Linked DNA regions of Xenopus tropicalis. The protein of the gene in region 1 interacts with the protein of each later gene in a biochemical or structural test. Links are inferred from orthologs where the notes say so. Each region holds a gene or a part of one and is shown in the gene's direction. Other genes may lie near its edges.

What was found.
Region 2: the proteins of myo6 (region 1) and dab2 form a complex in vitro, tested with the Homo sapiens proteins (7 studies listed by BioGRID). The link is inferred for Xenopus tropicalis from reciprocal best matches to the Homo sapiens genes MYO6 and DAB2.
Region 3: the proteins of myo6 (region 1) and tax1bp1 form a complex in vitro, tested with the Homo sapiens proteins (5 studies listed by BioGRID, with this or other methods). The link is inferred for Xenopus tropicalis from reciprocal best matches to the Homo sapiens genes MYO6 and TAX1BP1.

The regions. Positions count from the first base shown.
Region 1 is NC_030681.2:90,641,820-90,646,067, reverse strand, and holds the start of myo6 (unconventional myosin-VI), read left to right. Parts: upstream 1-1,393; 5' UTR 1,394-1,629; intron 1,630-4,248. UniProt on the Homo sapiens protein: Myosins are actin-based motor molecules with ATPase activity. Unconventional myosins serve in intracellular movements. Myosin 6 is a reverse-direction motor protein that moves towards the minus-end of actin filaments.
Region 2 is NC_030677.2:196,570,884-196,574,533, forward strand, and holds part of dab2 (disabled homolog 2), read left to right. Parts: intron 1-1,762; coding exon 1,763-1,894; intron 1,895-2,455; coding exon 2,456-2,539; intron 2,540-3,650. UniProt on the Homo sapiens protein: Adapter protein that functions as a clathrin-associated sorting protein (CLASP) required for clathrin-mediated endocytosis of selected cargo proteins.
Region 3 is NC_030682.2:42,513,320-42,517,613, forward strand, and holds the start of tax1bp1 (tax1-binding protein 1 homolog), read left to right. Parts: upstream 1-1,449; 5' UTR 1,450-1,561; intron 1,562-1,618; exon of another isoform or gene 1,619-1,757; intron 1,758-1,836; exon of another isoform or gene 1,837-1,911; coding exon of another isoform or gene 1,912-1,923; intron 1,924-4,294.

The DNA.
Region 1 (4,248 bases):
CTGTGGGTAGAATGGCAGTGGGTGGAATGGCTGTGGGTAGAATGGCTGTGGGTAGAATGGCAGTGGGTAGAATGGCTGTGGGTAGAATGGCAGTGGGTGGAATGGCAGTGGGTGGAATGGCTGTGGGTAGAATGGCAGTGGGTGGAATGGCTGTGGGTAGAATGGCAGTGGGTGGAATGGCTGTGGGTAGAATGGCAGTGGGTGGAATGGCTGTGGGTAGAATGGCTGTGGGTAGAATGGCTGTGGGTGGAATGGCTGTGGGTAGAATGGCTGTGGGTGGAATGGCAGTGGGTGGAATGGCTGTGGGTAGAATGGCAGTGGGTGGAATGGCTGTGGGTGGAATGGCAGTGGGTGGAATGGCTGTGGGTAGAATGGCTGTGGGTAGAATGGCAGTGGGTAGAATGGCAGTGGGTGGAATGGCTGTGGGTAGAATGGCTGTGGGTAGAATGGCAGTGGGTAGAATGGCTGTGGGTGGAATGGCAGTGGGTGGAATGGCTGTGGGTAGAATGGCTGTTGGTAGAATGGCTGTGGGTAGAATGGCAGTGGGTGGAATGGCTGTGGGTAGAATGGCTGTTGGTAGAATGGCTGTGGGTAGAATGGCTGTGGGTAGAATGGCTGTGGGTAGAATGGCAGTGGGTGGAATGGCTGTGGGTAGAATGGCTGTGGGTAGAATGGCTGTGGGTAGAATGGCAGTGGGTAGAATGGCAGTGGGTAGAATGGCAGTGGGTAGAATGGCTGTGGGTAGAATGGCAGTGGGTGGAATGGCAGTGGGTAGAATGGCTGTGGGTAGAAAGGCAGTGGGTAGAATGGCAGTGGGTAGAATGGCTGTGGGTAGATGCATGCAAAATGCTCACCCGCTAGTCTGGAAGAGAAGATAGCAGTAAAGACTAAGCCAGGGCAAGGGGTCACAGCCAAAGAAAACGTAGATGAGACAGAGATATGGCTAATGTAGCAGCACTTGCCCTTTCCATGATAGAGCAATAACTATGGGCGGTGCAACCATATCTGCTAGAATAGCCTGTCAGTGCCCGGTACAGTAACACCTTACTCTTCTACAGCTGGTGCCCACTGCAACCATACTACATTCCAACTTAGCCAACTCACCCTCCAATTGGCACATGAAAGCCCCCCAAAAGCCTTACTCAGCCGTACCATATCATTTACAGTCCACTCCAGACTGAAGCCCCACGCACCGGAGCTATTTCCCTACCCTGCAGCTAAATCCCCTGAGAACATTAGCAGACAGGTGTTTCCCACACAGAGGGGGAAAAGGTCATGTGGCTGAGCCATCTGGGAGCCCCAGCAGGTACCCATCCCCCGTGCCACCAGTAGGACAGCGAGTAGAACTGGTACTGGGTGAGGCCACTGTCCCCTCCCTGTCCCTGTCCAGGTGCTGAGATCCGGGCCCCGCCTTCCCTTCCTGGTCACATTGTGGGATTGGCCCCGCCCGGTGACGTTAGCAGCGGCTGGGCTCCAGCACTGGGCGGTGAGTTGAGGGGAGCTTTAGCTGGCCGGCTGAGAAGGAGTTTTGGGTGAGAGACAGAGCGAGTCCGGTGCTCTGGACCTTGTCGGCCGCTCATCCTATCGTTGCTGGCCGGAGTGCGTTTGGGGCTGCAAGCGAAGGTCGGGGTGAGTAAATAGAGAGTCCCGGTGCTGTAAAGGCCGGGGATAAATAGTGCTGATCTTTGCACTGCATCCTCTTACATCCCCCTACCCCCGCCCCCCGCAGGGATCTGCTCTTCCATAACTCTCCCTGGTATCTAGCTCTGTGCGCTGGAGCTGTCAGTGTGTGCGCTGCTACTTTGGCCAGTTTTCTCTACTCAGCCCGATTTCCCACCCCCTCCCTATCCTCATGGACCTCTCTCTCTTCCAGGATGTTTCCTCTGCCTCTCAGAGATCCAATATGGAACTTCCTGAATTCCCCACTAGCAAAGCCTTCCCTAGAGATCTTGCCTTTAACTACATAGATCTGAGGGGAAATGTGCCTGATGTTGTCTGCTTCATAAAGTTGTCTCTCAGATTGAACTACAACTCGCAGATCCTTTGCCATATTTGATAAAATCTGGGAAGTGTAGTTTAACACCTACTATGGCTTTATTTTATGCATGTCTACTACACCCAGCTCCAGGTTAACCCTTAACTGTATGGCTGCACTCATCAGTAAAGTATTAGTATTTGGTATTATGTATCTCTTTAGGATTTGCAAGTGCCTGTTCTAGGGAACATAATTCGTGTCTATGTACACAAGTGCTGGTATAAAGTATATACAAGTTTGGGCCTTGTTGGAAATGATGCCTTGTTTTCAGATAGGTTACAGAGAGTCCAGTAAATGGGTATATCTTAATCTGCACTCATAACTAAACTATTACTCTTTGGCTAAATGTATCTCTTTGGGATTTGCAAGTGCCCTTACTTTTAATGTGTTCTAGGGAACATGTTTGCAAGTTTGTGCCTTGTTGGAAACAATATCTTGTTTTCAGATAGGGTCCAGAGGGTCCAGTGAGGGGGTATAGCTTAGTCTGCATCCAAAAAGATCCCTTTGCTTCATGCTTTGCATTTATACTTAAGATCAGGTCCAATGGGTGTTTAACTTTATCTCTTTCTGTGCTCGCAAACAAAGTGCATTAGATTTATCGTTCTGTAGCAATAGAGAGGCGAGAGTTGAAAAGGGTAATAATGCTTCCTGGCAGCCACACCTATGAATTCAGGCTATTCACCTGTGGATATGTGCTCCAACAGAGATGCCATACTGCCGGCTTGGCTGAGGCTTTTTCAAAGGATACAGCTGTCACAGACATACTTGGAATTATGCAATCCTTTTTTATTTTATGGTCTATTACAGTTTAGTATTATTCTTGTATCAAGGATCACTGTTCACAGCTTTGCTCTTCCTTGTGAACTTTGGTACAAGTGTACCTACTGTGTTCAAATAACTTAGATTTGTGTATGTTATAAGACTGACACATCATCCCTTCTTCATATTGCTGGAGTAGTCACTTTACTTTATCCCTACTATCTCTATCTATGCCAGCTATTGCTGCTCATTAAATACACTGGACTTCCTTAAAGAAGTTTTTTTATGAATTGCTCAGTGTGGTAATGACAGGAGTAAGGGTGAAGAGACACAGAGCTACTTAGTAGCAGCTGCTTGTCACGGCTACTAAAAGCCAGAAAATACTCTGCCATAGACAATACTGAGAATTGCCTCTTTAAAAAACAGATATAAAGACAATTATCAGTAAATATATATCAGCATTTTCTATTTCTGTAGCCATGAAGTAGCAGCTACTAGTAGCTCTGTGTGTCTTCACCATATTGCAAACAGAGGGATATGCTGTATATTTTACATTATGAAGCCCTGTCAAGGTGTTGCATGTTTAGCTTCTGCATTCGCCATACCAAATCACTGGCCTGGATAGGCGTGCGTTTACTAATTGCTGAGTGTATGTATGAATGATACACATCAGACATTTCTATCTGTTGTAGTTACAATGGAGCCATAAAGGCTAAAGATTAAGATGAACATTTTCAGAGTACAAGGGTGACTGCTGATGTAATCCATTCTGCCACTAATTAACAAACTGGCTGAACTATAAAAACTCACTCATTTAAATTTAGCATAAGTTGATTGCCCTGCTAATATTGATCCTGTCAGTGAATCAGTTGTAAAATCAGTGTATAGAATTGATTTCTTGCACTAAAAAATGAATTACTAAGTAACCTGTCAGGCAAGGATAAATTATATTTAGGGGCAGATTTATCAAAGTGTGAAATAAAAGCTCATTACAGAAAAAAACTATTTCTATTCATTCCTATGGAATTTTTTAAAGTTTTTTTATTAGTGAGTGAAAGTTTGAGTTCACCATTTTATAAATACACTTCTAAAAATGAATGAATAGTAAGTGAGTTTTTTATGATGAGCTCTAATTTCACACTTAAAAACCACCAAAATTAAGGGGCAGATTTATGTTTTTCTGTTCACATGCATTAGAATTTTGTTTTCTGAACTCCCTTTTAAGGGGGATTTGGCAACAGCGTGCACCACCTGGAGCTACAGGAGTTCATACACTCAGAAGAAGAGATAGCAGGCAAGGATCACATGTTACAGTAACAGCAGTGCAACTAGACCTCCTGATCCATGTCCTTGCCAACAACATTAGCCAGAGAAACCTACCTTCTCGGGTGAAAAACACAGCCCAGTCTGTATTGTGATGGACATCAGCTTAAGGCAATAGGTGCTAGTGATGT
Region 2 (3,650 bases), on another chromosome or scaffold:
ATTAAACATTTTTACTTGTGCTTAAAAACAATTCATCTTAAAAATATATGCCCTTTGGTGGAGGGTGATTTTTGTGTTTAGGGAGGCTAATTAAAGACATGGTCTACACAAATTCCTTCATAGTATCCCAGTTCATGTATTATACCCCAAAACACACATCAAAATAAATTCCATGTTAATAGCCTAGAACACATGGCAGGATAGCAACAATGTTAACTCTATATAAAATAACCCAGAACATATAGCACAAAACTTCCATGTTTGATACTCCAGAACACATGGAAGGATAAATACAGTTGCAATTCTATATAAAATACCCAGGAACAGATGGCAGGATATATACAGAACCAATTCCATGTATATGGGTGAAGACACACTGAGCTACTTAGTAGCAGCTATCATGGCTACTAAATGCCAAAAAAACCCTGCCATAGACAATACTGAGAATTGTCTGCTAAAACACATGTAGAGACAGTTATCAGTAAATGATCACCATTGTCTATTTTAGTAGACGTGACAAGTAGCTGCTACTAGTAGCTCTGTGTGTCTTCACCCTTATACATCTAGGAACACATGGCAGGATAAATACCGTTCCAATTCTATATAAAATACCCAGAACACATGGCAGGATAGCAACAATATCAACTCTATATAAAATAACCCAGAATATATAACACAATACTTCCATGTTTAATACCCCAGAACACATGGGAGGATAAATACAGTTCCAATTCTATATAAAATATCCAGGAACACATGTCAGGATAAATACCGTTCCAATTCTATATAAAATACCCCAGAACACATGTCAGGATAAATACCGTTCCAATTCTATATAAAATACCCAGGAATACATTGCAGGATAAATACCGTTCCAATTCTATATAAAATACCCAGGAATACATTGCAGGATATATACCGTTCCAATTCTATATAAAATACCCAGGAACACATGGCAGGATATATACAGAGCCAGTTCCATGTATAATACATCTAGGAACACATGGCAGGTTAAATAAAGTGTGAGTTCCAGGGATAATATTGTGTTGGTTTCCCCAAGCCTTTATTAAAACCCACCTATGTGACTATATTGGCATTCTAATTGAAATTCTCTCATTCTTTATGACTTGTATATTCTGTATTTCTATATTCTATAAAGCACAGCAAGACTGAAAGCTGTTGGATTTCCATTGTTTACATTGGTTGGTATTGCCAAACAAGGCCTTAAGGCATGGATGTCCTACCTAAAGGAAGAATGTGATCTTCCAGTGGGTCTTGAGCTGGTAACCAGTGAATCTGAAGAGCTATGTAAATGTCCACACTGCTCCATTACAGTACCCAGAGTTGTGTAGGGGGGTTGGCAGGCACCAATTCGTACCCCTTCAGATACGCTTCTGACACTGAGCCTGCATGGCTGATGCCAATTTAGGCCTGGCTTCTTTTATTCTTCTATAGGTTTATGGTTCCATGGTAGACTTTACATCAATGATTTCTCAGTGTTTTGTCTGCAGACGTCTAGACAGAAAAACTGGGTGAATGGTGCAACCTAAAATGTGTAGGCCCCGGTGGTTCTAGATACCGTATGCCATTGCTCTTGTACTACGGCACAAAGCATTTACAAATACGTGTTGTTGTTTTTTTAAGTTATAAAATGCTGATTATTTTTTGTTGGAAACAATTACACACGCACTGTTAAGCCTGATTATATTTTAAAAAAATGAATTGTGTTTGCAGTTTTATTAAATGAAATGTCTTGTCCTAGGTAATAGAGCATGAACATCCTGTTAATAAAATTTCATTCATTGCTCGAGACGTGACGGATAACCGCGCATTCGGATACGTTTGTGGAGCGGAAGGGCAGCACCAGTTTTTCGCAATAAAAACGGCCCAGCAGGTATGTCATGGGAGCCCTCGGCTGACTCAAGTTCTGTAAAGCTTTATTGACAGTATTTGAATACTTCATTGATTGGCCTACCCTTATCCCAGAATCATTATTACCAATCAATGCTCCCTGTCTTTAAAAATCTAAAATGTGGTAGAAATTCACTGAGCAGGTAGGTTCTAGGTGGCTGCAGGTTACTATTACAAAAGTCATGCCACAAGGGGGCACTGCAGTACCTACCTGCTCCAGTTATTAAAGAAAAGGGTCTACTCTAGGCTGAGTTTCATGGGGGTTTTTGCCTTACAAGGGAGGTGGTGGGACATTAAACGAGCTTGGGGGTTGTCACCGCTGACAATTAAGAAGCCTCATTTGATAGCTCACCTTATGATGGTCGGATAACTTGAGCTTGAGAATAAGGTGGCTACCTTTTCTGGAAAAAAATACCGGCCTTGCTAAATTTTTTATAATTTTTTTCAATTAGTAACATTGCCATCAAGCCTCATTTTCACCATCCAACCCTACTTGAGAATGAACTAAGCAGACCAATAAATAATGGTGTCTCCTTTCCCACAGGCTGAACCTTTGGTTGTCGATCTAAAAGATCTTTTCCAAGTTATCTATAACATAAAGAAAAGAGAGGATGAAGACAAGAAGAGGGTGAGTTTGGATTCACCTTTCTGCCTCAATCTAATTTATTGGCGCTTACCTGTAGCTAGCAGGTCTATACAAAGAAGCTTCCAGCCCAAGCAACCTGCAGAACAGGAATGTGTTTCCAGGCAGGAATGCTTGTGTTGGATTTGCCCAGCCAACCTTTGGTTTCTAAAATGAAAGCCTAGTTTAAATGGGAAATTGCCTGGATCCTGTCTTCATGGGTTACTCTTACACTTACAAATGACAGTACTGTGGAACTATGGCATGGAACAGTGTGTAGAATATATTCTTCTGCACACTATTAAATAACCCAATTGAAGCTGAGAGGAACACTGTCATCAGAAATAATGTCCCATAGAGAACTATGGGAAATGTCCTAGCTAATGTACATGAATCACAGCGTTTTCCCCATATCCTCTACAAAAAGGGCATATTAAATAATCAATGGTACGGCATTTAATATTGTGCTAAGAGAGATGATTATAATAACATTAGGGCTCATTCATTAATTACCAGCAAAGCTCAAAAAGGGGGTGCAATCCACCACGGCTTTTGCCCATTGTGCCCTGTCCTGCACAATGGAAAATTAGCACAGGTCAAAACCATCTTGTGAATACAGTGCTGCCTGCATTGTTAGTGCTGTATTCATAACACAAGTGTTTTTTTAAGGTGTGTTAAGGGGTGCAGTTTTGCTGCTTGTGCACTTGCATCCAGGGTGACAGCAAATTACACCGGTTAAGGGGGTAGAAATAGGAGCATGGCTTTGCATCCATTTAGCACTTGCATTCCTAAATAGAGATGTAGCGAACTGTTTGCCGGCGAACAAATTCACACGAACATCGGGTGTTCGGAAGTTCGCAAACTTTTCGCGTATGTTCGCAATTTGGGTTCGCATGGCGTTTTTCCGCTGCGTTTTTTCTCGGCCTAAAAACGCAGCACAAGACACAAATGGCGTTTTTCAGCAAATCCCGTTTCCATGGTGCTAATAGTGTGAAATAGCAAAAAACGCTGCGTATTTCCGCTAGGTCTGCCAGCTGCCTTTGCGGTTTTACACAACGCTGTGTCAACAAAGTATTTTTCAGAGACATTTTTGCCCTTGATCCCCCTCCTGCATGCC
Region 3 (4,294 bases), on another chromosome or scaffold:
ACTGCCAGAGGGGCTGCTGAAAGTTGCCAAAAGCAGTCACTATTTATTTGGTAAAGGAGGCCATACATGCTAAGATCCACTCGCTTGGCGAGGTCGCCAAGTGAGTGGATCTTCTCCCGATATCCCCACCTATGGGTGGGCGATATCGCCTAATTTGGTTGTTTGGCCCTGGGGTCAAATGATCGAATTAGAACGATGGGTATGGGTGTCCAGTGGTTCAGGGGCCACATCAATGAGCTGATGCAGTCCCCGGTCTGACTAATGTTTAAAGGAGAAGGAAAGGCTAATAAAGAGTTAATCTCAAGCTGCAGGCATACCTTCAGTTCTCTCAATAGTGCCCTTAAGTCTCCCCATGTTTCACCTGTTCAGATGATCAGAAGCCAGAACATAAAGAAAAAACGCTGAGTTGTGTAAAGAAAGTTCCCATAATGCCTCGCTCCTGCACCAAGAGCAAGTCGGGTGTACATGCTCAGTTAGTTAGACTATGAGTCAGCTTCCTGCTGATTGGCTCAGATCCACATTCCTAAAGGGGGAGTGAGTTCTTAAATTATTTAAATCAACACATAAATTTTTTAGTGAAAAGAACAGACATTTATTGCCTCAGAAAATGTAACAAAAATTCAAAAACACATAAACCATACTATACCACAGTGGAAAGGAAAACCCAGTGCCTCATGGTACCCACTCTAGGAGATTTAAATTGCTTAACTTTCAGGACCTTTTAGTGAATTTAACTTAAGTTTTTCTGCTCAATTCATGTTTTTTTGATTATTAATTTAAAGCTGGAGTGAGTTCTTAGCATTCTTGAGGGAGGGGAGAGCTGCGTGTCTCTGGCAGAGGAAAACAGACACAAGTAATCTTTTGAGAGAGAACTCAGTGCAGCGTTTCTGTCAGTGCTTATGGCTGTATTTACATAGACCTTTCTGATAAAGCTTACTTAGTTTTTACCTTTCTTTCTCCTTTAAACCGAATCAGTCTAAGGGACCAATATTGGCAGCTAGAATCAGCCCATGTATTGCCACCTTAAGTGGGGGGGGAAGCAGTTTGGGCCACTACTTACTTGAAAAGTCATAGTCTATTCTGAATCCCAGTCCAGGCCTAATTTCTCATATTGCAATAAAGGTGTACATATCCTTCTCACTTAGTAATAAAGATAGTTGAATGTTTTAAGAGTTAACCGTAAAAACACAATTTCACGCCAAAGAAACTTAATATGGAGCCTTTTAACGAAAGATAACTGTAAGTGACCCGAAAAATACGTTTACATTCCATCAGCCATAAGAAAAGATTTTTTTCTCCCTCTCTCAACTTGTCCGCTTACTCGAAGCTGTGCCAGGCAATGCGTTTCCGCGTTCCAGCTAACGGAAGTGACGCAAATATACACAGGCAAGACCCAGTGGAAAGAAAACAATCCCTGCGCTTGGCATGCGGAAGCACCTTAGTGCGCACTGGATTATTGGGGTCAGACGTTCCCTGCTTCTGTTTCTGTCACCATCTGGCTGACGTAGGCGCCTGTACCGGCAGAAGCACGCCAGCGCGACCAACGCAGCCTTCAACACAGGTAACATGTTTTATAAGGGGCACTGGGTTCCACCGGGGCAGAGCGGCAGCAGTGTATGGCACTGACCGAGTTTCTCTCTGATGGCGAACGTCAGTGGCCTTTCATGCACTGCCTGCTACTACGTAAGGGGAGCTTAGAGCTGGTAACGATACCGTAAGGGGTTGGGCTAAGCTTCCCAGCCCGTAGCGGGCAGGCTGTAAGTATATATAGGCGACTGTAGGAGATCTGTGCGAGATCTGTGCTGGAAGTTACTGGGAATGTCTGGGTATGAAGGTCAGGGCCCTCTGTGACGTTTTTAGAACGGTGTCTGGCAGTGGCATCACCAGTGGCTCCGTGTCCGACCTCAGTTAATGCTGTTACCTGTATGTATATATGTATGTGTATAGGTATATATATGTGTATAGGTTTGTGTGGGGGGCGGGGTCATTTCTTTATCAAGACTCTGACTCAGCTTTGGAAAGTAAGTGCTTGTGTCACTGCAGTACATAATAGTACAACCGTAGGAGATATTATTATTACGTAAGGGAGCTTTTTCTGGTGACTTACTGTCAGCTGCACCCCTGTCATCCACTAACTGCTGTAATAGCAACCAAGCTGTGTTAGTGGTAACATGGTTATACTCAGGAAGGTTATGAAACTGAAAGCCTTCCACTTTTACTCACCTTGTTTTTAAAAGGAAAATATAATGTTGATAAAATTACCAGTAGCCATGCCTTTTTTATGTTTTTATTTTTTTTATATTTTTTATATTTTTTTACCCGATGATTTTTTTTTCTTTTGTTTTGTTTCTATTTTTTGGGTACTATTCTCAGTAGCAAGTAGGGGCCCTGCTTTTGGAAGTAATTCAGGGTGCACCAAAACACATTTACTGAAAGAAAAGATAAGGGAGAATTAAGGTGGCCATACACGCACCGATATTATCGTACGAAACCTCGTTTCGTACGATAATCGGTGCGTGTATGGCATGTCAGCGAGCCGACCGATATCGCAGGAAGCTGCTGAAATCGGTCGGCTCGCCGATCGGCCAAGTTAGAAAATTTTGATCGGGCGCCATAGAAGGCGCCTGACCAAAATTCTCCCTTCAGAGCTGAATCGGCAGAAGGAGGTAGAAATCCTATTGTTTCTACCTCCTTACCTGCCGATTCAGCCCTGAATGGTGTGTGGCGGATCTGACGATGTTTCGTGCGACCGACGGTCGTACGAAACATCGTGAGATCGCCACGTGTATGGCCAGCTTTACTAACAGATCAAGGTTGTCTGTAGTTCCAGGTTTCCCTTGTATGCAGGTCTGTAGACCAGGCTGAGGGGACACAAATTCCAAGAAGTATATTTGTAAACTACTTTTGTTAGTATTGCTCGACTTTGTGTTAATTACATTTGTTAATGAGTGCCAGTAATATACAATTGTGTATATATAGAAGTATACAGTGTTTAGTGATTTCATTAGTTATAGTTATGCTTATGAATATAATTTCTGTCTCTTGTCTCACTGAAACTTGTGTATTGTTATTATAAATAATATACCCCCTGTGTGTAAAATATGATGACATAAAAAGTCATCTTGGAATTCCATGACCATTAAAAAAGTACTTTGCCTTCCACCTTGTTTCTTTATATGGTCATTGAACTCCTGGATGACTTATATCCTTATATTTTACAGTTGGGGTTACCTTATATGTATACAAGGATTCATCACCCCTCTTACTTTGTTTGTATATGGTAAGGCTTCGGTAAATGCAAAGCTGTGGTGATAACACCACTATCTAGTCTTGTACCTATATTTTTTGTGGGGGAGGTGGGCAGGTTATCAATGGAGCTTCCATCTGAGCAAACTTTGTAATAAGCTCTGTTTATGGTATGATAATCCTCTTTGATACAGAGGGTGACAGAACCTCTACTCTCTGCACCTTGTATTGTCAAGTGACAAATTGGTGTTCAGTAGTAAGTTTGTTGGGCTTGTTGTGTCTGTATAGCCCTGAAATCACCAAGATTATAAATTACTCCTCGTTTAATGTTATCCCTGTTTGGTTTTACATCCCTGAAAATCAGTATTTTGGGCAGTTTTGTTTAAAGCTTACTATAGTCTCTGAAGAGTTTGTTTACATAGCTAAGTTATTTGTACACCTAGATGAGGAAACACTATTTTTTCTAAACAAATTGTTTAGAGTACTTAATTTTGTGTTTTCGTATTACATATGTGTTTCTAGCATCTCTTGTTTTTTATTATTGTTCTTAGGTGATCCTTAAGGCAGATTTGTTAATTCAGTACAGATAATATGGATTCACAACTGCATTATTGAGTTTCATATATTACTGAAATTGTACACTTTAAGTGTTTTTTGTCTAAACATGTGTAAGTTTATTTTTTTATCTGAGATGTAATAAAGGGTGGTTTTAACATTCAGATGAAGTAAGCAAGCTTACAGCTTGGTTTTCTCTAAATTCTTTAGTGGGATTTCTTATACAATTATTTAGCTTTTCATCATGAGGAACACCATCCTTAATTGTGTATTATTACACATTTTCAGTTTAAGGTCATAGCCACTTGTGTTTCCTCTTCTCACAGTTATCCTATGTGGCAGAGCCCCTCAAAATGCGTTATATTTCATTTCACCAAACTGGCATGAGGTTCTGGGTCCTTTCATAAATACTAACACTGGCTTCTAGTCTGTCTAGCACCTTTGGATGACACTACAAGCTTCATAGTGGTGAGGTGCATCTCCGGTAGTACCA